Rhinolophus ferrumequinum: one gene and its partners. The protein of the gene in region 2 interacts with the protein of the main gene of each other region in a biochemical or structural test. Links are inferred from orthologs where the notes say so. Each region holds a gene or a part of one and is shown on either strand. Other genes may lie near its edges.

Region 1 (6,934 bases), on a different chromosome or scaffold from region 2:
TGACATTATGGGCAAAGGAAGTAGCTGCACACAAAGCTGCCTTTGGATGGGGCAGCTGGATGGCTCAGTTGGTTAGAGCTCCAGGTCTCAACAAACAACAAGGTTGCCGGTTCAATTCCCTCATGGGATGGTGGGCTGTGCCCCCCTGCAACCTTGAAAACGGGTGACCGGACTTGGAGCTGAGCTGCACCCTCCACAACTAGATTGAAGGACAATGACTTGGAGCTGATGGGCCCTGGAAAAACACACTGTTCCCCAATATTCCCCAATTTAAAAAAAATACCTGGAGCGTCAGCTGTGCTGGGAGACTGGAGAAGGGGCAAGTTCTCCTCAGGGGAACCCTGCTGCCCCAGACAGAAAATCACCCTGTGTTTTTCCTTTTCATCCTGAATGGCCTCGTCTGTCCCCTCTGCCTCTCTTACCTCCTCACCACGTACATACCCAAGACCAGAAGGAAGCCGCCCCTGCCCCATTCTGACAAGCCTGTCTGTCCTGCTAACCCTATGGATTCCTTAAGAACCTCCATGATTCTGGACAGACCTTCAAGAACACTGTTCTCCCACACAGGCTGTTTGCAGAGCCCGGGATTTCTCTCAGCCACCTCTCCAGCGGGGGCTCAGGGACGCAGACCAGCCCCACCCCTGCCAGGGGCCTCCTGCTGAGTGGGCAGCAGCAGAGCTGACCCTGGAGGGGCGCAGAGGTCAGAGCTTGGGGTCTGGCCAGGAATCCTGCTCAGTGGCGGTCACTGCCCCTCCCTGACCCGGCTCAGGATGAAGACCTGGGCCCTCCGTGCCCTCAGCAAGCCCTTCTCCCCATCTGTTGCTGCCTTTGGCGTCGATGGACACCCAGAACTATGTGCGGAGTGGGAGGGAGTGGGGAGCTGCATGTAGTGGCAGGTGGGAAGGGGAGTGGGTGTGTTGGGAGGGGGAGGGAGAAGGAGGGGGGCAGAGAAGGTGGCTTGGGTGAGGGACAGAGACAGAAAAGGGGAAGCAACCACTGCCCAGGAGTGGTGGCCACTGGCACCCAGACAGGCATGGAGGACAGCCAGCCCTGGCCCCTGGCCCGGCTCCCCGCCATCTGGACCCAGCACCCTGTCTCTGGGGGACGCCTAGAGACTGAGTGCCTAGGATGACTTCATCATTTTAGTAGAAGCACATTTTATTTCTCCACTTCTCTAAGCCTCTGTTTCTTCATCTCTAAAACGGAGTCTCAAGGGTCTCGCTGTTGCCATGTGCCCCACAGCGATTGCTCCTAAGGCAGGGTCACTGCATTAGGCAGGCACCTGAGGACAGAGGGACAGGGCAGACGCACAAAGCCCTGAGGAGAGGGCTAGCAAGAAGACGGCCTCACAGACAGCTGTGCATATGGGCGCCCTTTGATCCCACCAGGGACAGGCCCTAGGTCCGCAGACCAGCCTCAGAAAGTGTCTGAGGAAAGTGGTGGGGCCTGGAGGTGGCTTCTGCTCTGCGAGAACAAAGCCTGCACCACGTCCCATGGGCCGTGAGGGATCAGATGGGATGCCGGGCTGAGGCTTGTGCTCTGGGCAGGGGGCCCTGGGGTCAGTCGCATCTCCACATCTCCTGCTGTATGGCCTTCAGGGGCTCCTCCCCAGTCCACCTGGGATCCTCCATGGGCTGCGGGGACACTGCAGAGACAGACTCCCCAGGGGAGGTACGGGAGACCCAGAGGGTGTGGGGGACTGGCCAGAGGAGGGAGGGAAGTGTGCTGACCCCCACCCATGACCAGTTGCCCTACACATGTCTTAGGCGGTGGGTGGAGATGCCACACACACTGTGGGATCCGCCTGGCTGTGTGACCTTGGCCAGGTGCTGGCCCATCTCTGTGCTGTTACCTCTCAGGACTGTCATCTGGGGTAAATGAGAAGCAGTCGTCTCCTGTCTGGACAGGCTTCCAGCCTGGGCCCTGTCCTGGGAGCCTGCCAACATGGCAGCCAGGGCCCCTGAGCACACAGCATCAAGAGGCACCCCAGCCTCCAGGGCCCTCTGGCCTCTCTGACCTTCCCCGCTCTCAGCTTGGCCTGAGCCCCTGCCATGCAGCCTCCTCTACCCTCCCTGGCCCTCTTCACCTCTCACCCATTCTGCGGGCTGGGTCTCATCTGCTCTAGGGCTGGTCTGTCTAGCTCACTGCAAGGTCCCGCTCAGGGGACAGCCAGAAACTTGCTGAATGATGAGGAGTGCGTGGAAAATCTCCACTTCCCTTCACATCTCGACAACTTGTGCGGTTGGGAGGCCCTCTGTGAGCCGGACCGGCTCCAGGAGCTCACCAGGCCGAGTGCCTGCACTAGGGACAGGAGCTACATATGGTCTGAGTCCAGGGGACCATTTCCAGAGCAGGGTCAAAGCCACTATGACACTGGCCGTAAGCATGCTGGGATAAGAAATTGAACTAACAGCTGTACCAGGTCATAAAGTACCAGGAGAATCAGCCAAAGAGAAGAGACAGGACATTCGAGGGAAGGGGACAGTGTGGCTTTAAACTGCATGACACCTTGGAGCAACTGAAGGGGTCAGAAGGGAGCCGGCCAGCAGCCACAGATAGAGAGAGACATGTGGTGACTCCAGGGGCAAAAATCCATACCCCCAGCATCCAGGTTCACCTCAGCACAGGACCCCGGTCCCCTCCGTGGGAAGCCCCCTACAGTGTGGTAACAGTGCGGTGATAACAGGCTCTTAACCTCATTTTACAGGTGAGGGCACCCAGTCTGGGAAAGGCTAGGGTGGGGCCTAGAGTAACCACGACACAGTCCTTTCCAGCGGGGCAAGTAGCGTATGGGGACACTTGCGTCTCTAGGACTCTCGTGCCACACATCTGGCAGGAAGCTCATGGCCGACTCACATGAATGGCACAGCTGGAATGGCCCGGCCGAGTCGGGGGCACGGCCACACCCCCACCTACTACAGTTCCAGCTCAGGCCGCCTGGAGGCCAGAGACCCCAATATTAGCACCTCATCTCCATGGGCCACCCTAAGCGACGACGGGGACCAAGGCGCTGGGCCGGACTCTATGGGGTGGTGGGGAGGGGGCGCGTGGGGCGCAGAAACAGCCAAACGCGGGGCGGGGCGCGCCGGGCGGGGCGGGCCGGGCGCCTCCCCGCGCGAGGAAGTCCCAGCCCGGCGCTTTGGGGAAGTGCGGCCGAGGCGCCTGCGCACTGCACCCTGCGCCCCCTCCCCGACGATCCGGCCGGACTTCGGAGCGCGCGGGCTCGGCGGCGGCGGCGGCGCGAGCGGCTCGAGAGCGCGGCCGGTGAGTGCACGCGCGCGGCGCGGAGGACGGCGGCCCTGCCCCTGCGGGCCCGGGGCCCCGGGGCCGTGTGGGGCGGGAGCCTCGGGAGCCGACTCCGGGATCTGCACCCCAAGGACTCCCGCCGAGGGGTCCACGTGGACCCTGGGCCGCGGCGGGACTGGAGCCCGTCCCCACCGCGCGCGCGGGGGGAGTCGGCGCTGCAACCGGGTTCCCCTTTTCTGCAGCTCAAAGCTTGGGGAAGTGATTGCTCAAAGGGGGGGCCGGAAGAACCCAGGTTTCCGCGTCTCCCGCCCCCCTCAGCCTGGTGGGGAGGGACCGAGGCGGGACACCCTGTCCGCCCCCGCCCCGTTGGATCTGGCAGCCTCTGAGCCCTGCGAGTCGCAGGGGAGGCGCTGCGCCCCCGGCCCCAGCCGATCGGGGCCCCCGGCGCCGACCTCCCTCCAGAGCGCCGCAGGAGAGTCCCCTGCCGTCTGACTCGAATCCCTGCTGCTGCAGTGCACGCCCCTTCGGCAGTCAGGGTGGGGGTGCAGACCGAACGTGGCCCCTCCCGCCCCCACCTCGCCTTTGGGTCGCTGGTGAGTGGGGCGCCATGGCGAGTTCCTTGAGGTAGGGGTGGGGGCGTCAGAGGCTGGAAGGGACCCCTGCAGAAGGCGACAGGTTCCTCCAGGCCAGACCCTACCAGCGGAGAGAGAGCGCGAGAGAAGTGAGTCGCCCCCACCATTGCAAAGGTGGGCTGGGGGCGAGGGTCACCAGGGTTAGGAAAACTGACCGGCCTTGTAAAGCCACGCTGGGGCTCCCCCACCAGCCAAACTGGGGGCTGGGGAGCAGCAGCTAGGAAAGGTACTGAGTAGGATCAGAAGCAGGGACTAGAGCCCCTCTGTCAACCCCCTCCCAAAGGTTATGGCATTTTTTTCTGGGATTGTCACATTTTTTTATTCTTTTTTTGGACTGGGCGGGTTCGGGGACGTTCTTTTTCCTTCTGTGGAGCAAAGCAGCAGCCGCTCCCGAGGGAGCCTCTGTCCCCAGAGGCCAGACTTGCTGCTTGGCCAGCCTCTCCTGTCCCAGACTGGGGGGTCAAAGCTTGGGGGGGGCTGGGGGAAGGGAAGGAGCCCCTCCCGAATGCAAGAATGAGGGGCAAGAAACCTAGACAGACCCTATTCTTCCCGCAGGAGAGAGCAGGTGCCCTGGGGGCACTGGTGGCCCCAGCCAGCTTGAGAAGGGTGCAGGGAGTCAGGTCCAGGGCCTGCAACCCAGACAGAATGGGCTGGTACCCGCTCTGCCCCAAACTTGGCCCCTAGCACCTGGGCCATGCACTCTCAGGCAGGTCCCCTCCTCCAGTTCATAGCTGAGCTGGAGATGGCAGCAGAGGTGGGTATAGTCTTCAGGTGCTAGGTTGGAGGTGGGTGGGACTGGGGCCCTGCCCCCACTCACAGTGGGTGCGGGTGCAGAGGAGGAAGAGCATTTCTGCCTGGGGAAGTCACAGCCGGTCTGGGGTACAGCTACCAAACCTCAGAGGTTGCCACACCCCTTCCTTTCCCTAGAAACTTGACCCCTGAGGGAAAGGCTGTGGGGCTGCTGCTTCCCCATCTGCTTGCTGGGAGCCCTAGGACCACGTTTGAGGAGGCCCCCAGGATTTGAGGGAAGCCGGGCAGGTGGTGAGGCACGGTGGCCCCAGGGGACCCTGCACTCAGCCCCCAGGTTTGGGTCAAAGAAGGGGCCTCTGTGTGCCCAAGCCCTGGAGGCAGGGGTGCCCTAAGTGCATGAGTCGCTGCTGTCACCTCAGCACCGCTCCCACACGGAGCCCTGCTCCAGAAGCTGCCTGCCCTCCTGACCACCGAGACCCCAAGAGACCAAGATGGGCCAAACAGGGATTAAAAGGCACGAGCTGAGGAATGAGAAAATAAAGTGAAACCAAGTCGTGAGCCTCCTGGCCGCGGAAGGTCCTCGTGGAAGAGTGCAGGGGGGCTTCCCCAGGTCGTGTGGGTCCTCACCTGGGCCTAGGTGGGCGCAGGCAGGGGCAGGGTGGGGAGGCGTTCAAAACTGCCTCCAGGCCGCTGATTGGCTACTGTCGCCCGCGGACTCTGGGATCTGCGGTCTGTCTCTCGGGGGGCACTCGGGGGCTGCTCACCGGCTCGCGCCTTCAGCGCCCCCTCGCGCCTCCAGCGTAGAAAGTGCGGTGCAGAGGCTGAGCAGGACGCGCCCCTCGCCTCCCCCAGGGACCCCGCAGCTCCGACCCGGGAGCAAGACGACCCCGCCCACTGCCGCCCCCGCTTCCCCGACAGGCTGGCGTGGCACCCCCGCCCTGTGGTGAGGCCGCAGCGGTTTCCGCAGCCTGGTGGGGGGAGGGGGGAGGGAGACCGGGGGCATTAGTTGACAGCTGGGGGAAGGGGGCACCAAGCATAGCGTCTAGGACCGAGGTCCCCTGGAAGCGCACGGCCCTCCCCACCCGTGTTCTGCCCTACTTCCTGCACCCTCAGGAAGTCCTGCCCCTTGTCCCACTCAGACCCTCTATGCCTCAGGCCTAATCTGGGTCCCCCAGGCAGGTCTGGACTCCTGGTGGGAAGCAACCCTACCCACCTCCCCACACAACCACAGGATGGAGGGGCCTGGGGTGGCATTCTGAATGTCTGACTACCACCCCTATGCACCAACCTGATAGCCCCAGCCTTGGGGCCCCAAGCCCCCTTGGGAGGGGCCAGGAGCCGGAAACCAAGAAAGAGGAACCCAGGCTTCCGGCTTCCCAGGGACTGAGCAGAGGGGGTTATCCCGGAACCTCCTTTGGAGGTCTTGTCGGGCTCCTCTCCCCACTGACCCTGCACCTCTCGCAGCCCTGGTGGAAGCTGGGGTGAGCGCAGGAAGCAGGCCCTGTGGGGCAGGGGTGAGGAGGGCAAGACTCAGGACCCCTCCCAGGGGGCATGCAGAGGCTGGGGTCTCAGGTTCTCTGAGAACCTCGGCTTCTCTTCTCAGAACCCCAGGCTGTGGGGAGGGTCCCGGAGCCAGCACCACGGAGCCTGGGTGTCCTGCACCCACCCATGCCCACCACGCATGAGGTTGAGAAACAGGTGCAGCGCCCCACACCCCTGCCTCTGTCCCCGGGGGCTTGGGGAAGGAGGAGGCCCTCGGACACCTAGGGGGCTGGAAGGGTCCTGCCCTTGGGAGCATGGCCACCAGCGGGCGGGGGTGGGCCCGCAGCTTTCGCAGGGTGGCTGAGATGGCCCCCATCTACCTGCAGCACACAGGGCCAGAGGAGGCAGATCAGCCCCCCTCGATGTCCAGTCATGATGCGGCCCCGCCAGCTGCCTCCAGCCGCAACCCCTGCTGCCTTTGCTGGTGTTGCTGTTGTAGCTGCTGGTACGTGGGGACTGGGGCACGGTTTGCCTGGGTGGGCATCGTGGGTGGAGCAGACCTGGGCCCAGGAGCCCGTTCCCTGGACCCTCGGGCGGCTTCTGAGGTGTTGCCTACAGGCAGGGTGCCCCGCCACCCGCAGCACTCGCCAGGGGCTGTTGGGCTGTGCTGACCAGTGGCCCGCAGCCCAGGCCTCTGTGTGTGCGGGGCCCCTCCTCCCTTTGCTCAACGCATGCTTACTGATGAGCCTGCGGGTCCCCACTGGCTCTGAGAACCCTACAGCACAACAAGACAAAAGCAGACCTTCCAAACTATGTCAGGTGGA
Region 2 (7,978 bases):
ACTATATATTCTGAGTACTAGTCTTTTATTGGTTATGGCTATCGATAGTACCCATCACTGGATCTAGCACACAGTAGGCACTCACTGACTATTAGACAAAAAATAAATTCTAAATGAATAAATGAGTACTGCCTCCTCCGGTTATCTCATTACGCTCAATGATACTAAAAAAAAAAAAAAAAAAAAAATCCTCATTATCACCTCCCTTGGGTCCCCTCCCTCATCATACATTGGGAGGCAGAATGCTGAGAACATGAGTCTGGAATCTGGCTTCACCGCTTAATAGCTGTGTGGCCTTGAGCAAGTGTCTTAAGCTCTTCGAGTTCTAAGGAAATCATACATATGCATGGAACAGTTCCTGGCACACGATATGAGGATTCCATAAATGTCGGTGATTATTACTATTTCCATCTATAAACACAGAAGATACTAACTTCCTCTTTTTACGCAGGGCCCCCACATCCCGATCACCAATTCCCAACCTCCTTATTTCCTCTGCCCACACTTGCTGCCCTGGTTCAGGCTGGCTGCCTAGTCCTCACCTGGGGGGGACAGGAATAACGATGGTGAGGAAAGTGGGTAATTAATGAATTTGCCTTCCAGGCCAGAAAAGGCAAAATGGCTTGGGTTCAAAACCCACCCCTGCCACTTACCAGCTGAGTGGCTGTAGGCAAGTCACTTCATTTGACGAAGCCTCAGTTTCCTCATCTGAAAAATAGGTAGAATTCCTGTCTGTCAGAGAGTGCTTATGGGGATTCAAAGAGATTATGCATGCAACCTGCTCAGCATTTTATTTCCTTAGCAATTTAAGGAAACTGTTTGTATTATTAGTCATTATATTGCCTCCCTCCCTGCCCTGCCCAGGAACATCCCAGTCCTCTTTGCCTGCCAGGGCCTACTCCATGTTACTTCCTCTAGGAAGCCTCCCTGGCTTGCCTTAGCCTGTTGGAACTGCCCCTGTGGTCCAGACGGCTCAGGCCCATGAACTTAATTACATGTTGCCCTGGCACAACTCTTGTCTTCCAGTCTCAGGCTGTTATTAACTTCGTGTCCTATTTTAAAACGTAAACCAGATCGCATCATTCCCCTGCCTCAAATCTTACAAGTTTCCCACCTGACGGGGTAAAAGCTCCAAACTCCTTAATGTGACCCCCGACTCCTGCAGAATTGCTGCTTCAGCTGCATCTCCTGCCCCAGCTACCCTATTCCAAGCTTGGTCCAGCCTCAGAGCCTTTGCCCTGGCTGTGCCCTCTGCCTGATCTTTGCAGGCAGGGCTGGCTGCTTCTTGTCATTTAGGCTTCGGCTCCAAAGTCACTTCCTCTGAGAGCCCACCTTGCCCAGAGTTTCTATCATGTCACCCCCTCATATATTATTCATAGCACTTACCACCATCTGGAGGTATCTTTTTAATTTACTTGTTAGCTTGTTTGTTGCTTGTTTCCCCCACTAGAATGGCAGCTCCCCCCTCAAAATCCTTAGTTTTGACTTGTTCACTATTAAATCTTGTGCCAGTGCCTGGCACAAAGTAGGTGCTCAAAATATATTTGTAGAATGAATGAACATATCTTATATCCTCATTCTGACTGTTCTCTGAATCCCCCAATCCTCAGAACATGCCTGCCGTGGAGTTGCTAACTGCCACCCTCTCCCCACATTCCCAGGCTCTCCTCACCTGTGGGGACCGGAGAAAAAGAGTTTTGGCCTGGGCACCAAGCAGGTTAGTTGGAGTTCCAGCCTCCCTACCCTCTCTTCCTTGGGAAGGGCCTGAAACTTCCTTGGGAAGGGCAACTCCACAGCCACACAGAATGGCAGTGGCGGGGAAGCAGGAAGAGGGGCAGAGGGTTCCTGGGAGCTCACACAATCTCTCAGGGAGGGGGGGCACCACACCCAGGCTCCCCTTTCCAACAGGGGAATGCTTTGGAGAGAAGGGCGGGCGGCCTCTGATTCAGTCTTGAAAAACCGGCTCCTGGGTGTTTCCGGAGAGAACGCCTACTCCCCAGCCTGGGCCCAGGCTTCCTAGGGGGGCCTGGCAGGCACAGGACCCCAGCATCCAGGCTCCCTGCCTATGTCCCCTGAAGACATCACTCTCTTCTCAGGACCCAGGTACACCAGCCTTGCCTTCCAGCTCAAGGGAGAAGGAATACGGGCGCAGTTTATTGCTTGAGCTGCTGGTGTCTGGTGACCTCTGGCGGGGGAAAGAGCACGGGGAGAGAAGCAAAGACCAGCAGGTGTGGCCCACATGGTATGTATGGTGTGTGTGTGGAGGGGTGGGGAGGGAGAGGGTAGCACAAAGTGCAGTAGGCTGAGGAGCTGTGCAGGAACATCTGAGCCATGGAGCCACTGGACATGTAGTCTAGTGGTTGAGACTCCAGTTCTTCACTCTGAGGAATGGGACTGAGTCCCAGATCTGCCACTTATTAGCTGGTGTGACCTTGGGCAAGTCACTCTACCTCTCTGGGTCTGCTGCTTCACTCTTAAAAGAAGTAACAGCTCCTATGAGGTGTTTAAATTCAACGATCCTCATAGTAATTACCTGACACAAAAGTGTTCAATCAATGTTAGTGAGGACGATTTTTTTCATTGTTATTATCGGGACCTCGGTCCTTCCCAAGCCTCCCTAAACCCTGGAAGACTGAGGTGAGGCCAGCTCCGGGGAGGTGCCCCAGATAGGGCTCAGAAATACAGACCCCGCGTCTGTGCCCGCCAGAGTGGGGGCTGTCCAAAGGGGTGCAGGAGTCAGGGGTGCGGCTGGAGACCCCATCCTGGCGGTGGAGGCGTTGGCCCCCTACCCCCAGCAGGAAGGGAGGCGCCCAGCTGGGAGGAGGCCTCCGACATACCCTCGCCCAGCCTAGACCTCCAGCCGCGTCTCGCCCGCGCGTGAAACTCACCTGCGCCGCCGCCGCCGCCCTGCGCGCGCCCAGCTCGGCCCTCCGCAAACTCTGGTCCGGGCCTCTCCCGCAGCCGGGGCCGGGGGGCGGGGTCGGCGCCCGCTCCCAGCCAATCAGGAACGGCCTCCTGCAGCTCGCGGCCAATCCTTGCCTCTCATCCCCGTTCCGGGTGGAGCAGACGGAAACATTCCAGAGGGATCCCTCCGCCTCTCCCGACTCTTCCCGACACCCCGCGGCGCAGCGCAGTGGACCTTCCCGCTCCGCCTAAGCCGCGGCGGGCTGTACCATCGCAGGGCTGCGGGTAGGGGGGAAGCTGCGGCTGGGCCTCGGCCAATCGCGGGGAAGAAAGGAGACCAGCGACCAATGGGAAGCTGCAGACTCTGAACCACGTGCTATTGGTTGAGAGTCGGTACCCGGGATACAGGGTGGTGGGGGACGAGGGGCTGACCGTGGGAGTCAGGTGACAAGGCTGAGTTTCGGGGAGAGGATGCAAACTCCCAACGTCAGGAAAAGCAGACCCTTTAGGAGACTTGAGAAGGGGCCGAGGGCAGCCCCACAATCCAGTCCTCCGCCCCGCCTGTCCCTGCCGAAGCCTGGCAATTCTCAGAGCGGATAAAAAGATGCATTCATTCCAGGCTGGCGGGAGGGGGACTGAGATGAATAGGGAGGGTCCCGAGTGTCCCTGCTTCCTGGGGTGTACAATGGACAAGGGCATTCATTCATTCATTCATTCACTCATCAAATATTTAATGTGCCCCTGCTCGGTGCCAGTCTCTGACTTATCTCTACAGACACACCGGCTAGTAAACTGAATGTGTTCCTGGTAGAGGGAACAGTGCCTGCAAAGGTCTGGAGGCCAGACGGAGATATACAGCACATTTTAGGATAATGCAATATCGTAGGCGCTAGCCAAGCAGTGTGAAAGGGGGCAGTGAAACGGAAGACGAGGGCGAGAGGCCCTGTTCCCTTGTTCCCTTGTTCGTTAGACCAGCAAATATTTATTGAGCTCATACTCAGTGCTAGATTACAGTGGGTACCCACGCAACCCAAGCCTCTGCCCTCAGGGAGCTGAACTTTCAAGAGTCTGTCTCCTCCATCTGATTGCAGCCCGCCCCTCTCCTTTCCCTCTCCGCTCCCTCCCCCCCTCCCCACAGAGCACATGTGTGTGGATGAAACGACCAGGTAATCTCACGATCTCTAGGTTTGGCTTGTAACCATGATTTCTCAGGCAGGAGCAGGTTCAAGAAACAAGACACAGGCCAAGACTCTCCGTTCCCAGGATAGATGATATTTCCTTGTGCTAGTTCAAAGCTGACCACTCAGGCAGCTGGGGCTAGACCAGGACTTCACTTGTGTTCTGGGAACTGTAGATCTTGGAGGCCTCTAACTGCTGCGACCCTTCTCAAGCCTCATTGAATGACTGCGCCTTTGCAGTCCCCAGGTGAGCTGCTGTGAATCCCAGCCCCACCAGGTCCAGAAGAGGAGCAAAGTGAAAGCGGAGTACCGGCCCTGGGCTTAGCTAATGCGGGCTGCGTGGCTGGCCCCACCCAGCTGGCAAACACAGAGATCACCACGGCAACAGGTTCAGCTATTGTCCTTGACTTCCTGTTCTGCTGACCTCTGCCACCCTCACTGAGTCATCAGTTGCCTCAGCTGGGCCAGTGCCCTCTGTGGGACTGTACCCACCGCCCTGGTTGGACCCCGCATCTGAGTTGCCCCCTATACACCTGGAGAAGGCTAGATGGAGGGCTGCGGGGACAGCTCAGTCCTGAGCCTGAATCCACCTGTTGACTGATGAGGACGTGCCCAGGAAAGGGTGAGGGGGTTACCCAAGGGCACAGAGCAGTGTCAGGCACCTCCTCCTACCCTATTTTAGAGCTCAAGAGGCATGCCTGAAAACAGGCTGGGAGACCCAGCTGGTGAGGAGCTCAGATTTGAGTATTGCCTCTGCCCTTCTGGAAAAAGCAAGTTCTGGAATGCCAACTAATACATGCAGAAAGAAAGGTTGAATTAGAAAATCACAGCAGTAGAGGAATTATGCAGCCAGTAGAGGAATAAATAATTCAGGCAAGGCTCATCAATGAGGAAGTTAATATTTGGTCTCAAAGGACCAGCCCACAGGATTACTTTTTAATTATAATGGGGAAGAGGTACCAGTGGGAAAACCTGGAAGTCGCCACCTTCACCAAGTGATCAAAATTAACCACTAGTGATGGGACCGGCTGATGTCACGTGCCCCCTGCTGTGTGGTACTGAGACGGACACAACATCACCTGCAAAGTACTTAGTCCTGCCCAAAGTGGTTAATTGGAATCTAATCATGAAGAGACAACCAGGCATATCCTGACTGAGGGACATTTGGAAGGAAGGAAGGAAGGAAGGAAGGAAGGAAGGAAGGAAGGAAGGAAGGGCACTGACCTGGACTCTTCAAACAGATCTATGTCATAAAAGGCAAAATCAATCCCTTAATTAAATGAATGAATAAAAGTCTGGTGAGAAGTTCTAGGTTGAAGGAGACAAAAGAGAGATGACAACCAAAATCGTTGTGTGATCCTTGATTGGATCCTTGATAAAAATGTCAAAACAAAACAAACAAACAAAAAACAAAAAAAAACCCAGCTATGAAGGATATTCTTGGGATAATTGGGGATATTTCAATGTTGACTGGATATTAAATAATAACATTGTATCCATGTTAAATTTCCTGAGGGTGAGCATTGTATTGTGGTTACATAAGAGAATCGTCTTATTAGGTGTTACAGGCTGAATTATTTAGTGGTAAATTTGTGATGGCTGCAACTGTCAAATGGTTCAGAAAAAAATTATATATGTATAAAATATTTCATATACAATAAAATATGGTATACATTAGTATTAATACATAGAGAAAGCAAATGTGGTAAAATAGTAACAATTGCCACTGAATCCAGGAGAGTGGTACATGTATATGGTATTCATTATATTATTCTTGTTAAATTTTCTATAGCTTTTAAAATTTCAAAATAAACATTGGGGGAAAATACTCCCATTTCCCTCCCATCCCCAGAAGTGACCCTCCAGTGGGTTTAAAAATGTGCACCTTTGTGTTTGTGTCTTTCCTTGAAAATGTGCACTGTTTTATGTGGGCATTCTATTGTATTGGGCTTCTTACTTTTTTTTTACACTCAGCACAGTATTGCTTGTTTTGCACTGTACCTTGAAGATCCATCTGGTATTGCTAATTTCTTTTTTCTTTTCTTTTCTTTTCTTTTCTTTTCTTTCTTTTCTTTTTAAATTGGGGACTATTGGGGAATAGTGTGTTTCTCCAGGGTCCATCAGCTCCCAGTCGTTGTCCTTCAATCTAGTTGTGGAGGGCACAGCTCACTGCACTGGGCCATGTGGGAATTGAACCAGCAACCCTGTTGTTCAGAGCTCGCGCTCTAAACAACTGAGCCATCCGGCCTCCCTTTGACTATTTTCTTCTAACTTATGCTTGATGCTCCATGAGATGCATCCCTCGTATCTTACTCTTTTGTTTCCCAAGGTTGGTCTCCAGGCAGCCTCCAGATCTCCACACCACAGTGGGCAGCCATGGACCTGCCCTTTAGGGACCTGGTAAGATTCTCTCTAGGAGAGAGTCCTGGATGCAGAGATGCTGAGTCACTCAATTGCTATTGAGTGCCCCCCCTCCCCGCAGACTAGCTGCCCCCATCTCACCCACTGGCAGTGTGGAAGGGTCCCATATCCCCACATTTCTGCCAGCTGTTGGCATTTTCCAGCTTTCTAATTTTTGTCAATCTGACTCACTGTCAAGTGACATCACCATTGCTTGTATTACATTTCTCTGATTGCTAATCATTTTGCACATGTCCTCGTTTGCTTGATGGCCTTCTGGATCGCCTCCTCTGTAAATTGCCTGTTCATAGCTTTTGCCCATTTTGCACTTGAGCTTACTATCTTTTCTTGTCTATTTGCATGAGTTCCTCAGAGTTTAGATCTGGACTGTCCAATTGGATTTGTCTAACGTGAATGCTCCGCTCTCATGTAGTTATTGAGGACTTGAAATGTGGCTAATACAAATTGAGATATACTGTTGGTGTGAAATACACACCAGATTTCTAAGACTAAGTAGAAAGACAAGAAGATGTAAAATATCACATCTCATTAACTCGTTTTTATACTGATTACACGTCATCATAATAATAATGTGGATGTTTTGGGCTAAAGAAAATGTATTATTCAAATTAATTTTATCTGTTTCTTTTTACTATTTTAATATCTCTACCGGGAAACTTAAAATTATATATGCTCTTGCATAGTTCTACTGAATAAAGCTGGGATATTGAGCCCTGTCAGTTTCAACAATGATAGATAATGTTTAGATAGAGCTTCCTATATGCCAAACACTGTTCTAAGAATTTTATATTTATTAAAACATGTAACTCCCCTAATGACCCTGTGAGGTAGCTACAGTGTTTCACTTTGCAAATATAGTCTCCCCTTCTGTCATGTGATGATTCACTTTGTTTGTGATATTCTTCATTGGAAGGAAATTCCTAATTTCAGTGTAATAGAAGTTATCCATTTTGTGGTTTGTGCCCATGAAATTTCATTAAGGAGGGCCTTTCTATTCCTCAATCACAAAGATATTCTTTTACATTTCCTCCTAGTCATTCAATGGTTTTACTTTCCCTGTGTCTTTATTCCATCTCTAGTCCACTTTGGGTTGTGGGGTAGCGTACAGTTATAGTTCTTCATAATGTGCACTGCTTGCCAGCTGTGTGCCCCTGGGTGAACCCCATCTCCCTTGTGCCACAGTCTCCTCATCTTTAAAATGGGGATCATCATCATAATAAATGGATATAGTAATTCTAAAGTTGTTACCATTATATTAGGATGAAATGAGCTATTCTGTGTCAAATGCCTGGCAGATAGGAAGTACTCAGTGAACACCAGCTGCTATCATTCAACTGCACTGAGAGCACAGGATGAATAAACACTGTATGTCATAATAGAAACATGATAGAAATAGAAACTTTTATTAAGCTCTGACTGTGTGCCAGGCCCTGTGCTAGCTGCTTTTCAGGAGTAATCCCACTGGATATGGTCCC
Region 3 (7,877 bases), on a different chromosome or scaffold from region 2:
CAGGAACATATAGTAAATCCTATCCCTATATTTAGGACATGAGATATATATAACCCTAAACGCTGAGGCAAACCCTCCACAATAATAATAAATCCTCTTTCTGTGTAACCAACACTGAGAAAAGGTGTTCAAAGTAAGAATTATTAACAGCTCCCCCTGCTTCTCCTCCCTTTCCAAAGATTTTTACAAGACCAGTGGGATTTGTTGGCGTTTCCAAACTTCTTCCCAGGAAGTCTGAAATGGGTACTGCTAGGAGTTGCTGTATAATTACTTAGTTGATTCCCTCTAAGGAGCTTACGCTAAGAATTGAGGAAAGAAAGCAGATTAACCATTTGAATACATGCCGCGGCCCATGCACAAGCCCTCCCCTCTCTCCGCCATAAATGGGGGTTTCTACAGTCCTCACCCGTCAACCCCAATATGTGATCCAGGAAAATCAATGTATTGCTTTGACTAATCCTACAACAATAGGGGTTTCGTTTTATTGTAGGGCAATTAAGTTGTCCGACGTAAGGAACAGGAGGGAGGGTAGTACTCTCCCATCCCCACAGACAGATTAGTCCCCGTGGAGGCAGTAGCGTTCTCTGTCTGTCTGGTGGTGGGTCACACGCGGCTCCCGGCTGCTACCTAGCAACGCAAAGCCGGGGAGAGACCTCGCGGGTTCCCCTGCCTCCTCCTCTTCACACTTCCCATTCATCCCTAGTGTTTCTTCCTTTCTTTCTCTCTCTTTCTCTTTCTCTCTTTCTCTCTCTCCTTCTCCCTCTCCCTCTCCCTCTCCCTCTCCCTCTCTCTCTCCCTCCTTCTCTCCTTCCTCTTCCTCCTCCTCCTCCTCCCCCCCCTGCTCCTCTCACTCTCTCTCCCCCTCCCGTTCCCTCCCTCGCTCTCCTTCTCCCTCTCCCTCCCTCCCCGCTGCGCTCTCGGTCCTCAAGCTCTCTCTCCCCTCCTTTTCTTCCTTACCCTCTCTACTTGCTGTATTCTGTCCTCTTCCCCCTTACAGTTTTTATTCTCTCCACTTCTTCCTCCCTCTTTCTCTGCCTCTGTTTCTGTAAAAACGTAAACTCTCCAACAACCTGAGAGAAGTTCGAAGTGTTTCATACCAGAAACTTTCTCCATTCGAGCGCTCAAAACTCTGGCCGCGCAGACGCGCCCCATTCATCAACACAAAAGCCCCCACCACCCGGATGGAAAGGAAAACCTTTCAAGAAAATGCTAGAGTATATCAGCCGCTCTCTCAGCCAATCCCACTTCCCAGCCTTATCTTGGCTCGCAAGTGATCTGTATCAAGATGCGGTCTCTTGGGGGTCACCGCGGGACCAAGTTTCGCTGGTGGAAAGAGGCGGGGGTGCTTTAGCCCGCAGCCTGGGCGAGCAAAGGGATCTCCCCCGCGGGGCGCTGCAGGTGGAAAACTGAGCAAGGAGCAGCGCGGAGGACCGCTCAACCCTGGAGAGCATAAACAGGGGCAGGGGGGAGCACAGGCTGCGCACTCATAGGGGAGACCTTCATTCTCAGGGTTCCAACCGCAAAGTGCTTTCCAGAAGGGTCGGTACAAACTCGCGTGGTAACAAAGACGGGGTCCCCGTGGGGTGCGCTGTCACCAAAACCGGCGGGGCTGCTTTCTCAAGTTTGCGGCTGCTCAGTTCCCGGGCGGGCAAAGGAGGGGCGCTCCTGCTTGCCTCTCACTGGGCAACCTGAGCGCCCCCGGGGGAGCCGCTCCGGCGCCGCCGCCCGCCCTGGCCCAGGCCCGGCCTCGCTCTGCTCGGCCCGCCTGCGGACTCGACCCTGTCACCGCTGGTGAAGTCCCGCGCTCCGCGCGGAGCTCAGCCGGGAAGGAGCTTACCTTGGCCACTGGCCGGCGCCAGGCAGGCAGCGAAAGCCAGCAGCAGCGTGCACGCCACTGCCACCACCCTGCGCTCCATCCCGCCGACGGCCGAGGGCTCCGGCCTCGCCGTTCCTTCCCTGGGAGGTGGGCGCGCGCCGCACACAGCAGCAGCAGCAGGAGCAGCAGCAGCAGCAGCGCGTCAGCTCGCGAGCGCTCAGTTAGCCCCGCGCCTCGGCGGGCTCCTACTAGCAGGAAGCTGGCCCGCCCGAGGCGTCCCGTTTTTCTACCCGCGCCAGTCCCCACCCTCCAGACAGTGCATAAAGCCCTTTAGACCCGACCGCCCCGGAACTAGCATGCGGGAATCCAGCGGGGAAGGCCCCCTGCCGCCCGGCCCGCCCCCTGCATTTTGCCGCTGAGAGGAGTGGGGACTCGAACGCGCGCTCACACGTGCACACTCCACACGTACTCACTCATACATAGCTTCACACAATCGCACACACTTCTCACTGTCACGCAAACGGACACACGCAGTTCACACACGCGCGTACATACACTCCTCTGTCACACACACGTGTGCGCGCACTCCACACTCAAAAACTGACACACGTGCACGCAGACTTCACAGCTACATACTCTTCATTCAGACGCGCTCACACGCCTCACAGTCACACACTCACATGCGAACACGTACACTGATGCACACACGCAGCTGCCCTAGCCTCTCCGCAGGATTTGCCTCCGCACAGAAGTCGGGTAGGCAGTCCACGGGGAAATGTGCCACCGACACAGTCTTTTAAAAGGGAGAAAAATAAGAGAAGGAAGCGAAGGAAGGAGGAAAGGGAAGGAGTTAAGAGCCTGCTGGAGAGATTTGTGATCATTCTCCAGTCTGCAATCCCTAGGCTCCCCCCGACACCCCGAGAGTTGAGGCGCGGAGATGGAGTGCCCTGTGGTTTTACGTTGTGGAGGGGGTTGACTCCATGTTGGGGAGGAGGTTGGATCCTTGTTTAGCTTTTCTTAAGCACCATATCTGCAGGTGTCACGGCCAGATCGCACTTCTTACAATTCTGTTCATTTCGAAGTAAAATTGCAAAGAATGAACGTCTTCTCGATCGTGCGGGTGCCCCTTTAAACGAGGAAGAAACGTTAAGGGGTTCAGAGAACTCCGCCGCTCCCTTCTTTGGTGCAGCGGTAAGTCTGGCTGACCCGGGACCAGCCCCCAAGAGCACTGCAAGTGACCCTTACACTCCCCGCCAGAGCGTCGTCCTCAGCCGGTCCGTGACACCAGAGCTGACAGAAAGAAAGGGGGGGTTGGTGCACAACCTACTCCCTGGCCCTGGGAGCCCTGTGTGAGGAAGGGATGCTTCCAGACCTGAGGTCGCCCCCAAAATCTCCTGCCCCTGTTCCAGGACGAACTTTGCATTGGGGCCCCAGGCTCCGAGTCCGGGTCCAGACTCAGGAGCCCTGTCTTCCAGAGGCGGTAACCATGCAGGCGGCAGCCCTTTCCGCGAAGCCCCGGCGCAGGGTCCCTCCGCCTCGCCCTCCCCAGGGGCGAGAACCTGCCAGTTAATGCCACCCCCTCCTCTCCAGAGCACGGATCGTCTGGGGCTCTGCTGATCCTCAGCAGTCGGGATCGCGTACCCTCCGTGGGTCTTAGAGGTTTATGAAACTTTGCGGAAGTGGGGGTGGGGGGTGACAGGTATTACTTTTGAGACAAAAAGAGAGGGAGAAATAGACGCAGAAAGAGAAAACTAAGCCTTAAGGAGTAGGGTGTGAGAAAGGGCGGGAGAGATTTCGTGGGTTTCTTTTCGAGATTTCTGAATGTGGAAATCCAGAGTTCTCTGCTCTGGCCAGTCACCGGAACGCTATTTGCCTTACTGCCGCGCGGGGGATGAGGCAGGATTGGGGACCTGAGGGGTTGGTGGGAGCCGGCAAATGAGGAGGATGAGCCCGGTGGGAGGAGGGAAGCTGCGAGGGGGCAAGAAGCTGAGCTTTAGTCTTGGCTGATTTATGCCGGTTCCGGGCGGCCGGGGCGATGGTACGAGACCGCGCGGAGGTCAGGCCAATCCGACGCCCGCCGGGGCCGCTGCGTAGTCAATGAGCGTCCCCGCACCCGCGCGTTGCAAAGAACAGCCGAGGGCGCTGGGGAGGCGCGCGCCGGGGCCCGCGGGCAGGCTGGGGGACTGCATGCGCGGGAGGAGGGTCGCTCCTAGTACACGCGTGGGCGCGAGAGGGTGAAAGTGAGTGTATGTGTGCGCACGCGTGTGTGTCCTTTCACTAGAGCAGCCGAGGCTCCAAACATTCCTTTCTGCACTAAAGGGTTTTCTTCCTCATTGTTGTCTTTGTGCTCCTGTGTTGCCAACTTACTGGAATTCCTGACGTGGTTGCACAGCAGGGCTCAGGCTGATCGTAGGAGCCAGCTGCGTTTGTGTACAGGCCGACCCCGCCGGTAATCCCAGAATAACGCCGGAGAAGGGGGGGTGGGGGGAAATGGAGGGAGAACGGGAGGGAGGAGAGCAGATAAAGATTGGGGATAAGGGACGACTAACAGCACGGTCCATCATTTCCAACACTGTGTATGTAAACTCACGTTCATACCCTCTTCCGCTAAAAAAAAAAAAAAAAAAAAAAAAAAAACATAACTTTCTCAATGCAACCCAAACTCGTGCAGCTTTTGCAGCCCGCACTATGTACGTGTTTATCTCCGGCATCTAGACCGGAGAGTGCTAGATTTGGAGGGTTAAATCTAAGCACCAGGCTCTGGGAAAGCCCAGGTTATTGCATTTGTGATTCAAGTCAGCATTGTTTCTATATCATGCAAAAGTGTAGTATCTTTCTTTTCTACATTGCTGTATACATATATTTACATGAGACTTTACAGAGTGGTTAACCAAAAGAGGTGATGAAAGTGAGAAAAATGAAATTTATCCTAGTAAATTCATGTCAATTAACTTCCTTGGTATACTTTTGACTTGTCTGTATTATTTTACTGATGCGTCTCAACACCAAATTACTGGAAATATTGTGAGCATTTTTTTTCCCTGTCCTGAACCAATTTCTGATTTTTGCAAAGGGCAAGAAGTTGTAAAATCTCCTTGAGTAAAATCCAACTTCAGGTTGCTATTAATTCAACCCAGATTGACCTCCTGAGCGCCAGAGAGCCAACTGCCCACTGAACGGCTCCAATCCAATGTTCCTAAAACCACAAATTCAACATGATGGAGCCTGAATTCAAAACCTTCAGTGTTCCTTATCTCAGTAAGAGGCACCATCATCTGCCCCAGAGGCCAAGGCTTTAACCAGTCATTCTTGACTCCGCCCTCTTTTCCCCACCCCCACATGCAATCAATCATGAAATTCTGTTAACTCAAGTTCCTCGATCTACTTCTCTTTCTCCAACCCACCCACTTCTCTCAACCTCACCGCCAGTAGCCACAAACCTCTCATCTGAATTATGGCAAGAGCCTTATAAAGGCCTGCTTGCCCATGTTGCCCCGGCCCATCTAGCCATCTATTTTCCATTTTGCAAGCAGACAATACAAAGTGCTATTTCCAACAGATGAGTGCTTTCACACTAAAGTCATTACCCATTAGAGGGTTCTGAAATCAATTTAGTAGGTCAGACAGAATAATTTTCAAACGAAATAAAACAGAATAGGAACTAAAATAACCTTCATATAGAAAGGCTATGTATTGTTTTACTAAACTCTTTTTTCAGATATATATACAGTGTAGCACCATGTAAAATATGTTTCTTATTATACATCTCAGTCGAAAATATTTTGAAGTATCTCTCCACAAATTACTTATTTTAAAAAAGTAAACAGTAATTTTAAGTGGAGAAACTGACATGTTTTAAAACTGACATGTTTTAATAGGTTTTATTATTATTTAGGTATGGTAAGGTCAACAGATCAGGAGAGGACTGCCAATGAAAAGATAGTTTCTTATACTCACAGATCCTAGGAGAGGGAATATAGATCATACCTTTGGGGGCCACCCAGGGAACCACCAAAGTCTTCACTCTGAGAGGGACAGTAGGGGTGGGGGGAACTATGGGCAAGCACCTCTACTGTGGTTTCCAAGGGAAGGAGCAGGTAGGCAGGGTAAGCAGGGTTAGGACTGGCTAGTTAGTATTTGAAAAGCACTCCCAAGGGAGACAACAGGGGAGGCAGGAGGTCAAGGCAAGGTGACAAGGCATACTGTCAGCTTGCCCAAAACAAGGTGTGTCCAGCATAAGCATGCAGGGCAGGTGTTAGGGCATCAAGATTTCAGGAATGTGGTAAACACAACATATACCCCATGGTATTACTGACAAAAATGTATAACCTGAATCTAATCATGAGAATGCATTAGACAAACATAAACTGAGGATCATTCTTTAAATAACCAACCTGTATTCATCTAAAAATGACCAGGTCATGAAAGACAAAGGAAGGCTCAGAAACTTTTCACAGATAAGACAATTAAATGCAACACATGGTATTGGGTTGGACTTGGACTGGGGAATAAGTAATTCTAAAGGTATTATTGAGAAAGTCAGTGGCATTTCAACATGGACTGATTGGATAATAGTATCATACACGTTAAAATTGTCTGATACTGGTTATAAAAGAGAATGTCCTTGTTTTAGGAAATATACCGTGAAGTACTTAGGGGTTCATGATTTTGCAACTTACTCTCAAATAATTCAGAAAAAAAAGTGTGTGTGTGTGTGTGTGTGTGTGTGTGTGTTTTAGGAAGAGAGAAAGGAAATGGGCAAGAGTATGTGGGAGTTTTTTGCACTATTCTTGCAACTTTTCCGTGAGCTTGAAATTAAATTAAAATAAAATGATTTTTTTTTTTAAGTTTGAGAAATTTTGCATTAACTCGTAAGTTCCACAATGGATTGTTCCTTTCTTTGCTCCTATTATTCCCTCTGTCTAGAACACTCTTTCCTTCCCATTCCTCCCCTTCCTCTGGTTAATTTTCCAGTCTCATCTAAAATATCTCCTCTTCTTCCAGGAAGCTTTCTGTAAACTCCCCATACTGACTTAGAAAGAACGTCTTCTTTTTTTTTTTCTTTTAATGTAATTGTAATGTTTTATTTGTTACAAGTCTACTTAACAAACAGTTATTTCTACTCTATAGCATTCACAGAGAAATGGTTTCTCTCTCTTTCCCTCTTTCTCACACCTACAGATACATTTTTTTATTTCACTAATGTTTTATCAGATTTGAGTAATTGTTCAAAATTACATTATTACATAATATGTTTCTGAAAGCAGCAAGCAGAAAAGATGGTTAGTACCTGTTAACCTAAAAACAAATGAAATATGACAGTGGTCCATATTTCAGGGCCTAAGGAACATGTCCCACCGAGCACTCAGTCAGCAGCCAGCCTCAGGGCCCACTCATAATGCTGCAGGACTTTATCCAATTTGTATACGAACCCAAAGATGTTCAAGCTTTCTATATAAAAAGTATTTCTTCAAAGTTTCTTTAAAGCCAATTTCTCTAAAGAAATTATACTTTTATCCTTTAAAAGTGATGCCTTTTCTATTTTTACTGCTTTTAAATAATGGATAATTGCATCAACTTCCTATTTCCTTTGAAATTCCTAAAATTGGCCATAGTAGAAATATAGCTCTTACAATTTTTCTTCAAGAGATTTCATGCATAACACTTTTTGATAAGCGTCTTCACATTTTCTGCAATTGCCTGTTTCTATGTACATATCTGCCAGGCTTATGTAAGCAAGGTCAAATGTGGGCTTTTTTTCCAGAGCAAATTCAAAATGAGATATGGCTAATCTTGTCATTCTGTCATTTTTCTCTATCCTGTCCTTTAGATTGCCAATTTGTAGCTTTCTTTATTTGAAAAACTTGTGTTCTAAAGCAAAGCCGTATCTGGTGATGCAGGAAGGCAGAGGAGGGTGTTGCCTGCAAGGCCATTTTTAAGAGCTGAAGAGCTTTATTCAAAGAGCCTTTTCTTTGGTAAACCTTGGCTGCGTATCGAAAGACGTAGGTCTGCAAGGACATGTTGTTCAGTGCTTCTTCAATGTACTTTTGCCCTTCAGCTT

What was found.
Region 1: the proteins of GIPC1 (region 2) and RGS19 form a complex in vitro, tested with the Homo sapiens proteins (2 studies listed by BioGRID). The link is inferred for Rhinolophus ferrumequinum from reciprocal best matches to the Homo sapiens genes GIPC1 and RGS19.
Region 3: the proteins of GIPC1 (region 2) and LRP2 form a complex in vitro, tested with the Homo sapiens proteins (2 studies listed by BioGRID). The link is inferred for Rhinolophus ferrumequinum from reciprocal best matches to the Homo sapiens genes GIPC1 and LRP2.

What each region holds. Positions count from the first base shown.
Region 1 is NC_046306.1:128,469-135,402, forward strand, and holds the start of RGS19 (regulator of G-protein signaling 19), read left to right. Parts: upstream 1-3,889; 5' UTR 3,890-4,164; coding exon 4,165-4,352; intron 4,353-4,613; exon of another isoform or gene 4,614-4,632; intron 4,633-4,655; coding exon 4,656-4,667; intron 4,668-4,805; coding exon 4,806-4,849; exon of another isoform or gene 4,850-4,919; intron 4,920-5,476; exon of another isoform or gene 5,477-5,559; coding exon 5,560-5,571; intron 5,572-5,627; exon of another isoform or gene 5,628-6,109; intron 6,110-6,210; coding exon 6,211-6,326; intron 6,327-6,496; coding exon 6,497-6,615; intron 6,616-6,934. UniProt on the Homo sapiens protein: Inhibits signal transduction by increasing the GTPase activity of G protein alpha subunits thereby driving them into their inactive GDP-bound form. Binds to G-alpha subfamily 1 members, with the order G(i)a3 > G(i)a1 > G(o)a >> G(z)a/G(i)a2.
Region 2 is NC_046301.1:47,652,061-47,660,038, reverse strand, and holds the start of GIPC1 (PDZ domain-containing protein GIPC1), read right to left. Parts: upstream 3,088-7,978; 5' UTR 2,889-3,087; intron 709-2,888; 5' UTR 654-708; intron 1-653. UniProt on the Homo sapiens protein: May be involved in G protein-linked signaling.
Region 3 is NC_046291.1:54,554,007-54,561,883, reverse strand, and holds the start of LRP2 (low-density lipoprotein receptor-related protein 2), read right to left. Parts: upstream 3,034-7,877; 5' UTR 1,917-3,033; coding exon 1,838-1,916; intron 1-1,837. UniProt on the Homo sapiens protein: Multiligand endocytic receptor. Acts together with CUBN to mediate endocytosis of high-density lipoproteins. Mediates receptor-mediated uptake of polybasic drugs such as aprotinin, aminoglycosides and polymyxin B.